Linked DNA regions of Oryzias latipes. The protein of the gene in region 1 purifies or fractionates together with the protein of each later gene. This does not show direct contact. Links are inferred from orthologs where the notes say so. Each region holds a gene or a part of one and is shown on either strand. Other genes may lie near its edges.

What was found.
Region 2: the proteins of smarcd1 (region 1) and bcl7b purify together in Homo sapiens (affinity purification with mass spectrometry; 4 studies listed by BioGRID and IntAct, counting the BioPlex papers as one, with this or other methods). This does not show direct contact. The link is inferred for Oryzias latipes from reciprocal best matches to the Homo sapiens genes SMARCD1 and BCL7B.
Region 3: the proteins of smarcd1 (region 1) and bcl7a purify together in Homo sapiens (affinity purification with mass spectrometry; 5 studies listed by BioGRID and IntAct, counting the BioPlex papers as one, with this or other methods). This does not show direct contact. The link is inferred for Oryzias latipes from reciprocal best matches to the Homo sapiens genes SMARCD1 and BCL7A.

What each region holds. Positions count from the first base shown.
Region 1 is NC_019863.2:13,904,112-13,908,342, forward strand, and holds the start of smarcd1 (SWI/SNF-related matrix-associated actin-dependent regulator of chromatin subfamily D member 1), read right to left. Parts: upstream 2,801-4,231; 5' UTR 2,765-2,800; coding exon 2,582-2,764; intron 1-2,581. UniProt on the Homo sapiens protein: Involved in transcriptional activation and repression of select genes by chromatin remodeling (alteration of DNA-nucleosome topology).
Region 2 is NC_019871.2:22,450,707-22,454,683, reverse strand, and holds the start of bcl7b (B-cell CLL/lymphoma 7 protein family member B), read right to left. Parts: upstream 2,801-3,977; 5' UTR 2,752-2,800; coding exon 2,639-2,751; intron 2,174-2,638; coding exon 2,098-2,173; intron 2,018-2,097; coding exon 1,930-2,017; intron 1,800-1,929; coding exon 1,641-1,799; intron 1,023-1,640; coding exon 919-1,022; intron 192-918; coding exon 111-191; 3' UTR 1-110. UniProt on the Homo sapiens protein: Positive regulator of apoptosis. Plays a role in the Wnt signaling pathway, negatively regulating the expression of Wnt signaling components CTNNB1 and HMGA1.
Region 3 is NC_019870.2:1,211,988-1,216,042, forward strand, and holds the start of bcl7a (B-cell CLL/lymphoma 7 protein family member A), read right to left. Parts: upstream 2,801-4,055; 5' UTR 2,694-2,800; coding exon 2,602-2,693; intron 1,054-2,601; coding exon 803-1,053; intron 706-802; coding exon 556-705; intron 37-555; coding exon 1-36.

The sequences.
Region 1 (4,231 bases):
TTCATGGGAGGCGAGCTTCTAACAAAAAGGCTTCATCCATAAATAGATTTATTTGATTTGCTAAATAATTACAAGCTGTCATAAGATTGTTTTAGCACATTTAAAGTAACAATTTATTGCGATTTTCGCTGTCTTTTGCTATATGCGGATTGCACAGCTTGATATCGCGATAACGAGAAATTTGCCATTTATCGTGAAGGCCTAGATGGAACAGTCAACAGTATCCTTTAGTGGGATTGGTCTTTAAATCACAAAAATAAACAACTGTAGCCAAATCACTGCCTTAGTGAAAAACATTTTTTCATCGAAAGTCTTTTAGATAAACAGACTTCAACATAAACCCACTAGGGTTCAATCCAAATTCTTCCCCTACCCCTCCAGCTTCTCTCTTTCCCTCCAATTGTAGGGGCATTTGGGGGTAGGGGTGTTAGTTTTTGGAATGGAAAACCTTCACTGCGCGGAGGGATACGGAGCCCTCCAACGCAAAGGTGTTCCGCATGTTCTGTGCCGCAAAAGAGAAACGTATCTCTGCAAGTGGGTGTGCCTTGAAGCACAGAAGTTTACACGTAAATGTAAGTAAATACTTTTTGTTTTAGCATGGCTTTTTAATGTTCTAAAACCCACGTTATTTACTTCTGATCGCCACCCGCTAACGTGGCTGACCGACGACGATTGATGACCTCATCGAGTCAGAGTGACGTCTAAATGACTATTTTTATATGACACTCCATTTGGAGGGCTAACTGTAGGTGTAGGGAGAAGTAGAAGTGGGGGAAGAACTTGGATTTGGTCTAGGTATTGTAAATATGAAGTCTGAACATCTAGGACACTTTTAAAACCCTAAAAGAACTGCAGAAATGTAAACTCTTTCTCTTAGTCTGTTTCAACACAACAAACATCTTTAGCATTAATGTTAAACTTCTTGAAAACGGTGACAAAGGTTGCTGCGTACACTACTCCACACTAAAATTTGAATCACCAAACTAGCTAGCTGTACTTCCACGTTCCATTTTAATTTATGTTAGCCCGCCACTAACAGCTCACTTCCCTCATCATTTTTCACTGCCATGTTACTTTCCCCTCAAGTTCCACAATTTGTTTCCACCAAAACATCCCCGCCTAATAGAACTGGACTAAGTGACCCCCCACCCCCACCCCGGATGTCAAATAGGAAGTACCTGCTCGAACGTGTGTAAACCCCGCCTCTAATGATTGAAATGTTTAATTGACAGACTCTCCTGAGCCTGCTTTCAGTGGCAGAGATGTGGACTAAGATAAAAGCTTAATCCTGATTGGCGACAGGAGTTGCCATAGAAGCGTCGACTCCTACAGACGCAGGCTCATCACCGTTTACTTAGGTGGTCTGGCTCCAACATGGGGATGAGTGTACTGCAGATCTAACAGCGACTGATGGATTCATTTTGCTGGAGCTGAAAGTAAGGCGTTTTTTTTTTCTTTCTACGGGTGACGTCAGACTCGCTCAGTCCAGTTCTCTTATACAGACAATGACATCACCACCCACCTTTCCATCAATTAAGAATCAAACGATCTTGATAGATTTATAAATAAGATACTTCTCCATTCCCTGCTAGTTTATAAAAATAAAACATTTTTTGAAGTTTTTCAAGGTTAAGATCTTCAATTTCTAAAAATATTTATCATGCCCTCAAGTAAATTCTGAGTTTACCTCATTTGTAATTGGTTAAAAGTATGAAGACTCCTCTCAAAATTGGGTGCATGTCTTTATTTTAAAAAAATTAATTCAGGTTGGTAGGTAGGTGGGTGGACTTTTAAGTTTACCATGCCCCCCCCCCCCCCCCCTTTTTAAGTTTAACAACTGCAATGTATGAGTAAACTATGTTGCGTGTACTTTAATAGCAAAACATTACCAAGCGTTGTATTATTAACAAGTAGAAGTTCTCGACGGCGGAGTTACACCTAAAACCTGACCAAAAACTCAATGGTTCCGTTAAGTAGAAGTCAAATCAAATGCCAATTTTTAAACGTCAGCAAAGAGAGACGCGACAAATACAAGCGGGTTTTCGGAAATTACCTTTCAGCAAATTTGAATTTAGACTCACATGACGGTAGCAGCCAGATGTTTTCGCAGAGTACGGTTCCTGAGAGGCGGACTTTTTACTTTCAGATTTCCCAGAGGAAATCAATGGATCCCGTCAAAACGAGACGTATTCATAAAAGTTGATAGATTTAATCAATCTGTATATGCCAGTTAACTCCACACAATCAGTAACTAGAGAACTACGACGAGCGTAACACAGTAACTAGTTACTAGTTAGCGTTAGCAGGCGAGGTAGCACAGTTTCATGTAAGCTAACCTTCTGTTAGCGAGCGGGAGGTTTAGCAAATTCAAACATGATAAACTCATAAAAGTCCGCCAGAGCGCTCGAAAAAAATATTTATTAAAAGTCGATTACTTTTAATGGGTTTCTTAAGTTCTATTGAACTGGGCCTGTAGGGGGACGGGGGTTAATGTTAGCCATTGGCGACAAAGCAGCGATGAGTGGCTTTGTTCTACTAGCGGACCGGCTAGCATTGACGCAAAGATGGAGTGATAACTCACCGGGTACCCAGGCCCAGGCATTGGAGATCGGTACATGTGGTTCTGACCAGCCGAAGATGGACCCATTCTTCCAGTGGGAGTCCCGGGTCCCATGCCTGGTCCAGCACCGGGTACAGGTTGTCCAGGTCCAACAGCTCCACCACCACCAGTCGGTGCAGACTGAAACCCCCCTCTGGACGCCATCTCCTCACTAGATGTCGCCTCCGGTGGAGCAAAGGAACTAACGCGAGAGCAACTGAGGCGTTCACTTTGCGATAGCGCCCTCTACTGTTCTCTTTTGACACTGCACGATTGCCCACATTAAGAGACAAAGGATAATTGTGGGGTATGAAGGCGTAATATAGGCTATTTCTTAAAAAAAACATTTAGTATGTTCCTTTATAATATTTTAGTATTTTTCGTGAAGTTTTTTTGTTTTGTTTTTCGTGCTATTTTTTTTAAATACAAGAGCAAAAAACAACAAACAGGCTGGGCAGCTACTCATGAAAACTACAAGAAAAACTATAAAAGTATAGTTCATGTAGTTTAAAATATGTATTAATATATATCAATATATACATGTATATGTATTAATATTATTCATATATAGTTTAAAATATATATTAAAAACACGAAAAAATCTGTCTGGTCTGTAGAAAATAAAACAATTAAAATAAAAAAAGAAAGAACATTTTAATTAGCTGGAGTAATACAGTCCTGACAAGTCCTAACAACCAGCATTCAATTTACATGATTATATGCACAAGAATAAAGTCAACGGGTAGGCCAACCATATTGGAGTAATTTAGGACGCTATTAAATTGTCTTCTTTCTTTTCATGTGAATTCACTAATCTGTTCTATTGCCTTCTATATGTCTTTCATTTATCAAAACAGAATACATTGTTTTTCAATTTTCTCTTATCGAACAAAATAAAACTTAGAGCAAAACAAAATGCCCCAAAACATTATTAACTTTTAAAGAACACATTTAAAAATAAAAGTTTTCATTTTAATTTAGGCTACAGTACAAAATCAATTGGTTCAACAGTGGATTGCTGATATTTTTCATTTTTCATAATATATGACTGTTTTGCAAATGAGAAAATCATTTGATTTTTATTAATGTAACTATTCATATTTTTGTATCATATCCTTTAAAAAAACAATCATGTATGTTTTTAACTAACTTCTATTTGTGTACATATTTGCAGGTTATTTCTGAATGTTTTTAGAAGGTTTTATAAAATAGAAATCTTGATGATGACGTTTTCAGCTACAGGATTGTTTCTTTCCATCATTTTGCTAAGTAACATGTGACACTTTTTGTCTCTACAAGTCCAGAACTTGACTATGTTGAGATAAACACAATATCTGGAGTAGAAAATATTTTCTTTTCAACAACACAACACCTGGTATTTTGTGATGCCTGTTTGTTTGGGCTTTCTGTTTTCTGCTAGTATATACGAGAATCAGAGTAAACCTAATTTCATGGGTCTTTACTTCTTTTGTACTGCAGAAAGAAAAATGACATCAAACAACCTTGTGTAAGGACAACACAAAAAACGATGTGCATTTTTGCTTTTGGGTGAAGTTGTGGAATAACATGGAGGAATGATTAAGAATATTACACAATTAAAATAAATCCAGTTAGAATATGAAAAGCCCATTG
Region 2 (3,977 bases), on another chromosome or scaffold:
ACTTGCATAAACATGTAAAAAGAAACCCATCATAATTCTGAAAATGTTGTTAATTTCCCAACATCCAAGCAGGTTTCTTATGCATTACGGACAAAAAGGTGGTACAAAAGCTATCTCAGCGCTGCATTTTCCCCTTTGCAAATCCTCTTCAAAGGCGGTGCCCCCGATTCATCTACCGGTAGGTCCTCCTGCTGGACAAGAGTACAAGTTAGACATGTCAGCTTCTATTTACACCTCAAAACTTATCAGGACATAACTAACTCGACGTGAAATGGGATACAGTGTCCCCTCGTTTATCGCTGCGATAGATGAAATCCACAGAGTAGCATTACAGATGTTTCAAGGCTGGAATGCCTACTATACCACTTTACTATACCAAAGACTTTAAAAATGGGACCCAATGCCTCCCTGCTTGACACTCAACATTAAGGGGTTGGCTTGGACCACCCGAGCGCGGCTCGTCGGCAGCTCACCGCTCCCCCAGGGGATGGGTCAAATGCGGAAAACAAATTTCCCACACCTAGGTGTGTGACAGATAGTGGGACTTTATCTTTATTTTACACTTTATACTATTTTCTCAGACAGAAATGAACATTTTCCCAGTTTTTTTCTCTTGCTTAAACTCTCAAAGTTCAAACCTTCCCAGAAAAGTATGTAAAGGATCATAGACGGAAAGCAAACATCTGATCACAATTGAAGATTTGTGCCCATTTTTCAAACAGACTGCTTAGGAGATAGTGCATGGAGGAGATTGATTGACCGTTGTCAAGAGCCAATGAGGGGGCAGAACACGATACGCTGTTAGAAAGAACAACACGCAGAATTACACTCTTTTATTCCAAGCGCAATATACTAAGGGGACCACTGTATTTCATGAAGATGTGCTTGAGTTTGTCTTGGAAGCTGTCGAAGAGAAACCTGTATATCTGAAGCTCCCCGTTTGATGGCTCCAGATGAGAGAGGGTCCTCTTTAATAAGAGTAGGTGGCTCATCTGCACCTTCCTGTCCCAAATGGACTGGTTCTGCATCAAGAGAGAGAAGACACTGTGTCATTAAGTTAGGAAGAGATTTTGTTTTTATTCATTTAAAGTCATCTTCTGATCTATTTTCAGTGTTCCCAGTGGTCTTTTAATTATTATTATGCTATTTTTAGCCACACACACAAAAAAAAAAACTTGTATTGTTTCTTAGGAGAGTTTCTGCAGAGCAGCAGCAGTTCATTAGGAATTCTTCTGAGTTGTGGGCGGGACCACTGGCGCAGAGTAATTTCCCATCATCTCCTTTGTTTACACTCACTCCCAGTAGCTTACAGCCCCCTACAACCCCAACAAAACATTACAGGTGAAACTGGTGAGCAACATTGGAGCATCCAGCCAGCTTGGACAAGGAGAACAAAGGCGAACATGGATATGATTGTGGATGCATCGAAATGGAGCAGAGCAGGGAGCTTTATCCTCCACCACTTTTTTTTTTTTTATCTGCTCCTGATTCACAGTTTGAATAAAAAAATACTCAGAAATGCAGTTTTAAGCTATAATTGTTTATACATGGCCATCATCAGAAAAATGCAACAAGAACATGTTAGAAACACCAAAAACAGGATTTTAATGACAGTTCTGGACATGGTTTTATTTACATACCATCCACACTCTCCTGGCCCAGCATGGGCGGCTGGGAGTCCTCCGCTCGGAGGCTGAAGGTATGCGGGGGGCTGACCTGCTGGGAGCTGGAGTTGCTGCTGCTGTTGTCCATTTTTGGTTGATAAACGTCTGACATGAAGCTTTGATTGCTGTTGTCATCTAAGAGCAGACGTTTGGAACAATCATGAAACCCTTGGAATGGAGGATCACTTTGATCTGGTTAAATCAAACCCAATTGATCCAAGATATGAATGATAAAGAAAATGTTCTTTAGGAATCCTCAGGCTACCTGTGAAATCCAGCAAAGAGTTGGTGTTTTCCAGAACCACATCCTTCAGTCCCCTAACGTCTCCACCCGTAGATTTGGTCCGAAAGATCTGGAAAGAGGATGAAACCCATCAGGAGGATGCAGGTCGTGACACAGGTCTCTGTGTGTTTTATTGACTGAGGCTCACACCTGTTTCGTTTCAGTGACTGGAACCCACTTGAATATGCGCAGGGACGTGTCTCCAACCGTCACCCATTTCTTCTCCCTGAGGAGAAATGTACGTTGGATCATGGGGAAATCTCCTAGCAGCTGCTAGATTTCAGGGCGTCGTAATAATAATAGAGAAATGAACGCATTTATTAGTCACGCGTGTTTTCATAGTCCGGTGCAGCGGAGCTAATATCTGATCAAAACCCTCTACTTCTCCGTGCACAGCAGAATGGAGGAAATTCAATGTAACGCGTTAGTGTCTGATTTCCACAGCAATGCAGCTCTCAGGAGGCTCGCCGACTTCTCAAGCCGCCGCATGTGAAGCTGCTGGAGCCATATTGACAGCTGTCGGCGGAAAAACTCAACTAGCCCCGCCTCCTCTGTCAAACGGGCGCGCTGGTTGGTCGAAAGCCTTGTCAATCATCCAACTTTCCCGACTGAAGTTTGTTGAGCTACGCAGCAAGATATCGCGCCGCGGTCTCGATTTTCATGCCCTTTTTGCGCCGCGCAGTTTACATACCATTTGCGCACTTTCTCGATGGCCGCCAGGACCTTTTTGATGTCGTCTTTGGCCCGACTTCGGGTCTCAGCGCGGCCTGATCGTCCAGACATCTTGATCCCGTTATGATTCATCTACCGATGCATCTGAAACTTCAAGCCCCGATCCTCCCAGAGGGATAAATCTCGCGATACTTGGACCTCCTCGTTTTCTGTAATCTTGAGGTTTTGTGCTCAGTCATGTACCGATAATGTAAGTTATAGTGTGTTCGAAGTGCGTGGGATAGTTTTGAACGTTTCAGGAAATAATAAAATATGTACGAAGCCCTGTACATGGCACAAAAAAGACCAATGGTTCCCTCAAATTAATAATTTGTGGCCTCGGATTAGCTAATTAGAAATTTGTGCACACAACACCAATTTGTGCATGTAGATGTGCGTACATCATGATGTTATTTTGTAAACACAAAATGTTAATTTGTGTGTAATAAATGCTCATTTGCGCACACAAACTAGGCCTACTCATTTACGCCCACCGAGTGTTGTAAAAATACCAACTTGTGCCCACAAAATATAAATTTGTGTCCACAAATTGTGAAGACAAAATACTATTTGTGTCCACAAAGTGCGAATTTGTGCACACAAAGTAGCAGTTTATGCCCACAAATTCTCATTTGTGGGCACAAAATGCTAATAAATTGCAACTTGTGCACACAAAATACGAATTTTGAGAAGATAAGAACATGTTCATACAGAATGCTAATATGTGACCACCAAATGCCAATTTAATGCCAATTTGTTTGCTCAAAATACTCATTTGTGTCCAAAAAATTCTAATTTGTGTGCACTAAATACTAATTTTGTGTACACAGCAAACTTGTATGCACAAAATACAAATTTGGTGCAAACCAAATGCATACATTGCCCATAAAATCCTTTTTCGTGCCCACAAAATGCTAATGAAATGCTAATTTGTTTGCACAAAACTAATTTGTTCTCATAAAATGCTAAGTTGTTATAACGGAAGGCTAATTTGTGGCCACAAAACGCTACTGTCCGACTACAATTTGCCAGTTTGTACATTTGTGCAAATGCTAATTTGTGTGCAAAAAATAGTAATAAAATGCTTATTTGTACACACAAAATGCTACCTTCAAACTTGTGTACTAACCTTTTTCCTATTAATGCTACTTTGTGCCCACAACAAATGTTTAGAAAATGCTGATTTGTGGCCATGAATTACCAAAATGTGGCTTCAAAATGCTAATTTGTGCACACAAAATACAAATTCATGGCCACAAATGATTATTTTGAGGGAAGATGTTTTCTAACATGTCCAGAGCTACGTAAATATGACCCTG
Region 3 (4,055 bases), on another chromosome or scaffold:
CTCTCTCTGAGGTCTCTGACGAGGGCGTGGTCTTACCTGTGGGTCAGAGGTCACAGCTTGGATCAAACTGCAGTCCCTTTTGTGGTGCTTTACTGACACCCTGTGGTGAAATGAAGGAACTGCAACTTGTAACGAGATGTAAAGGTTCTCCGTCACATTGAAGCCCATCAGGACAACTATTGTTGTAATTTTAGGGTTTATAAATTGAATTGGTCGTATTTAAGGAATTCTGTGACAAATTGGGATAAAGGTTTGTCTTTTATTCCGTCAAAGTATTGGATTCGTTCAGTTTTGCTTCAATTAAATCTTAATTGGTCTTTCTGAAGATCGGCCATGATGAGGGCGCCGTTTTCACAACGCATCAGGGCGGGGCTTCACACAGAGCCTTTCTGATTGGCTCAGACTGTCTGACTTCATTTCCTCTCTGTGCTCTCAATCAGAGCCCGTCTGGAAAACACGGTTGACGGTTGAATTCCCTGAGGGCGGCGCTGAGGCTACAGCTGCGCCGAGGGGTCGCTGGCTCCAACCAGCTGCTGTTTGCATTTGACCTCTGACCTCTCTTGCTGTCCGGGCTCTGCTCGCTCTTGGTCTCGCTGTTCTCACGGAGCGTGGCGGCGTTGTTCTCGGGGGCGGGGCTTGTGCTACAGCTGTTTTCCTGCTTCACTGGGGACGAGTCTGCGATGGAGCTCTGGTTGCTGTTGTCGTCTGAAGGAGAAGCACGCTCAGCCTTTATTTACATTCATCAGAGAACGACCTGTTGTCATGTCCAGCTGTGACCTCAGGTGGGGGGGTGGGGCCTCACCGTGCATGTCCATCATCCCCGGAGACGAGCTGTTCTCCGGGGTCGTCACCTCTGAGCCGTACTTCTCATCTTTGCCCTTTTTCTTGTTTTTGTTTTTCTGAAAACGGAAAATAAGAATCATCCATTTTGAAGAGAAACCCCGGCTGACAGGTGTCAGAGGCGGACTCACGTCCTCAGATTTGGGCTCCGTCACCGGGACCCACTTGTAGATGCGGAGGGACGTGTCTCCCACCGTCACCCACTTCTTCTCCCTGAAGAGAGGAAACCATCAGGACAGGAAGCATCTCTGACTTTAAGGGGAAAACCTCATCATCCTGACAGAAGCGCCTTTCATTAAAAAACCAAAAATCACATCAAAAGAAGATTTTTTCCCCTTAATTATATCAATAATAAATCCTTTAAATATATATGTTAAAAGGGATTTATGTGAAAAATGCTATTTTCTCCTCTTTAAAAATCTTATTTTAAGATTTCAAACTGATTTTATTACTTTTATATTTTACAAAATACATTAATTATATTATTGATTAGTTACCGATCAGATGTATATATACAAAAATCTTAAACAGCTTTATTATTCATAAATGAATATGAAGTGTGTGTTGGAAAAAAATATTTTTCTATAATTTATAAAAACCAACAAAAAAGTTATAAAAATAATGTCACTAAATGATCAATATATTGATTATTGATCAGTATGATTCGATTATTTCCCTTGTTTTTCTAAATCACTACTTAAACCTTTAAAAAAGCTACATTTAGGTGTTAAGGTAAAATCCCTCTATCTAAATAAACAATTTTGGTATTAAAATTTCTCATATATAAGAAAAAAATGTAAACTGAAACAAATGTTTAATCCTTAAACTGATGTTAATAAAACTAAACAGAAGTTAAAATGTGTTTTAAAAATATTTTTTATTAGGAATGAATTGTTGCAATTTACAAACAAAATGTTTAACTTTTTTTAAATTTGGGGGAATAACTGACTGAAACTGTTTTGTTTACCCGCCTAAAGTTTCTGGTTCCGGTTTGTTTATTCCGTTTTATTTTCTTAACTTTAATCGAAAAAAATAAACTTCTGACTTTGACCTGGAGACGTTTGATTAATCCACCCAGACAGGCAGAAATTGAAAAAAATACCGCCCCCCGGCGGGGTCACGCGGCTGGATCCACGCTCCTCGTGTCCGGGTGATAACCGTATATGTGCGGCGGAGAAGCTGAAGGCGGTTAAAGGGTGATTTTCCGCGGCGAACCGGTCGCTCGGCGCCGCTGGCTGCGCGTTCAGCCATGCATCTCGGCGGACTTCCCTCTCCCAACCCCCACCGACCGAGCGCTGCTCCGTCGGACCCGAAGGGCGACTCCGAGCGCTGCCTTAAAACTCCTCGCGGGCCGAAGAGCCCGGACTCCGGAGCGTCATCGAACGGTCCCTCCGTCCGCGCCGGGTGTTCGTTTGGCCGGCGCCGCTCCGCTCGCGCTCCCGGCTCCGCAGCGAGCAGCAATGGCTTCATGTGACTGCATCGAAATGGCTTCTTCTGGGTTCAGCCCTAGCCGTTAAAAATCGGCGGAAAAACAGCGGCTATGCGACGAACCGGTTCCCGCCGAAGCCCGCCTCCGACCGGCGAAGACCGGTACGCCGGTGCGGACCGCTGCACCTGAGCCGCGGCGGGATCTGCCGTCCAGAAAACGTCGTTTTCTTTCAATTTCATCCGTCTCCGTCTCGCTTCTTCCCTCTCCTCCCCCAACAAGAGAGCCTTTCTGCTCCCGGGTAACGAAGCGCTCCTTTCCCGGCGTTTACTCACCATTTTCGTACTTTCTCGATGGCGGCCATGACCCTCTTGATGTCATCTTTGGCCCTGCTCCGGGTCTCCGCTCGGACCGACCTGCCCGACATTTCCGCGCTGCTAAAATATTTTTAAAGCTCGCCGGCAGTTCAGACACAATGCAAACAGTAGAGCGCACAGAGAGGCCAGTGCGCCTGCGCGGCTCCGGGGGAAGAGGGGGGGGGCGGCTGCGGCTGCGCGCTGAGCTCAGATCAGATCCTGCTGAGCGGCGGAACAAAGAAGCCGCAGCCGCCTCCGCTCTGCCCCCCAGGTCTGCCCCCAGAGCCGGTACAGGGTGTCCGCCGCGGCAGGAACACAGCTGTTCTGTTTTTACCCACTCACTTGTAAAAAAAATCGCCATAAAAAGAGAAAAAGTTTGACTCTTTGTCATTTTTGTTGGTATTTTACACAAAAAGAACAAAGCAGCTTTACCGCAGAGACATCAAAGGGCCGGAAACACCAACATGGAATTAGAGGGAGGCTTTCTGATTCAAACTAATGGAAGTTCAGAATCAGAAAGCCTTTATTATCATTGTTACACAAGAAACTTGTGACAACGAAATTCTGTTGCTCTTAGATATATGATCCATAAACATCTGAGCTCTTCATGCAGCCACACGGTGTCGTCTGGTCTGTTTACACACTTTCAAATCCAAACCGGTCTCCAGCGAGAGAGAGAAGATACTGCCTAACAGGTATCTACCAAATGTTCGGCTTAGCCGCTCAAATGAATCCAGGGTGTTGTCCACAAACAGATCTTTAAATCTTGTGTTGCCCTTCTTGTGCCACTCCTGAAAACCCCTGTCGTGAAGGGAGGGTATGAAAACACTTTGAGGCCATCACCACCAAAACACCATTTCTGCTAAATGTTTATTATTTTCAATGATTTTTTTTTTGGTAGACTTTTTTTCATTTAACATAATTTAAAATGTGCGGTTGCTATCCACGTTTAGCTTAGCCATGTTGGGTTCTGGTTGAAACTATCATGACTGTCACACTGTGACATATAGTGAAGTTACGCTTGTGACCCGAGGCTGTCAGTACTGACAAAACATGTCCATCATATTTGGACCAACCAGAGTTGCCTCGTTTATCACTGAGGATGCGTTTCATAATTGACCCATGAAAGGGTAAAATACTAAGTTCACACTGGGCAAGCAGGGAGGGGCTTCTTCTTCTTCTTTCCCCACTGTTTACTATATCTGCCACAGTTGGAAGAGGCTGGGTGTGAAATGTCAGTGGTGCAAATCTTGCCCAAGACTTTTTCTTTCACAGCTCCATTCTGATAAATCACAGAATTCCTGCTGGACGTAAACCACAATTATACATTTCTGCAGCTCCATGAGCTTTTTTTCAATGGTTGGCACTTCTGTGAATTCGAGAGGACACCATCCATTCGTCACTACCAAGTCCCTGCTTGGTCAAACTTTGAC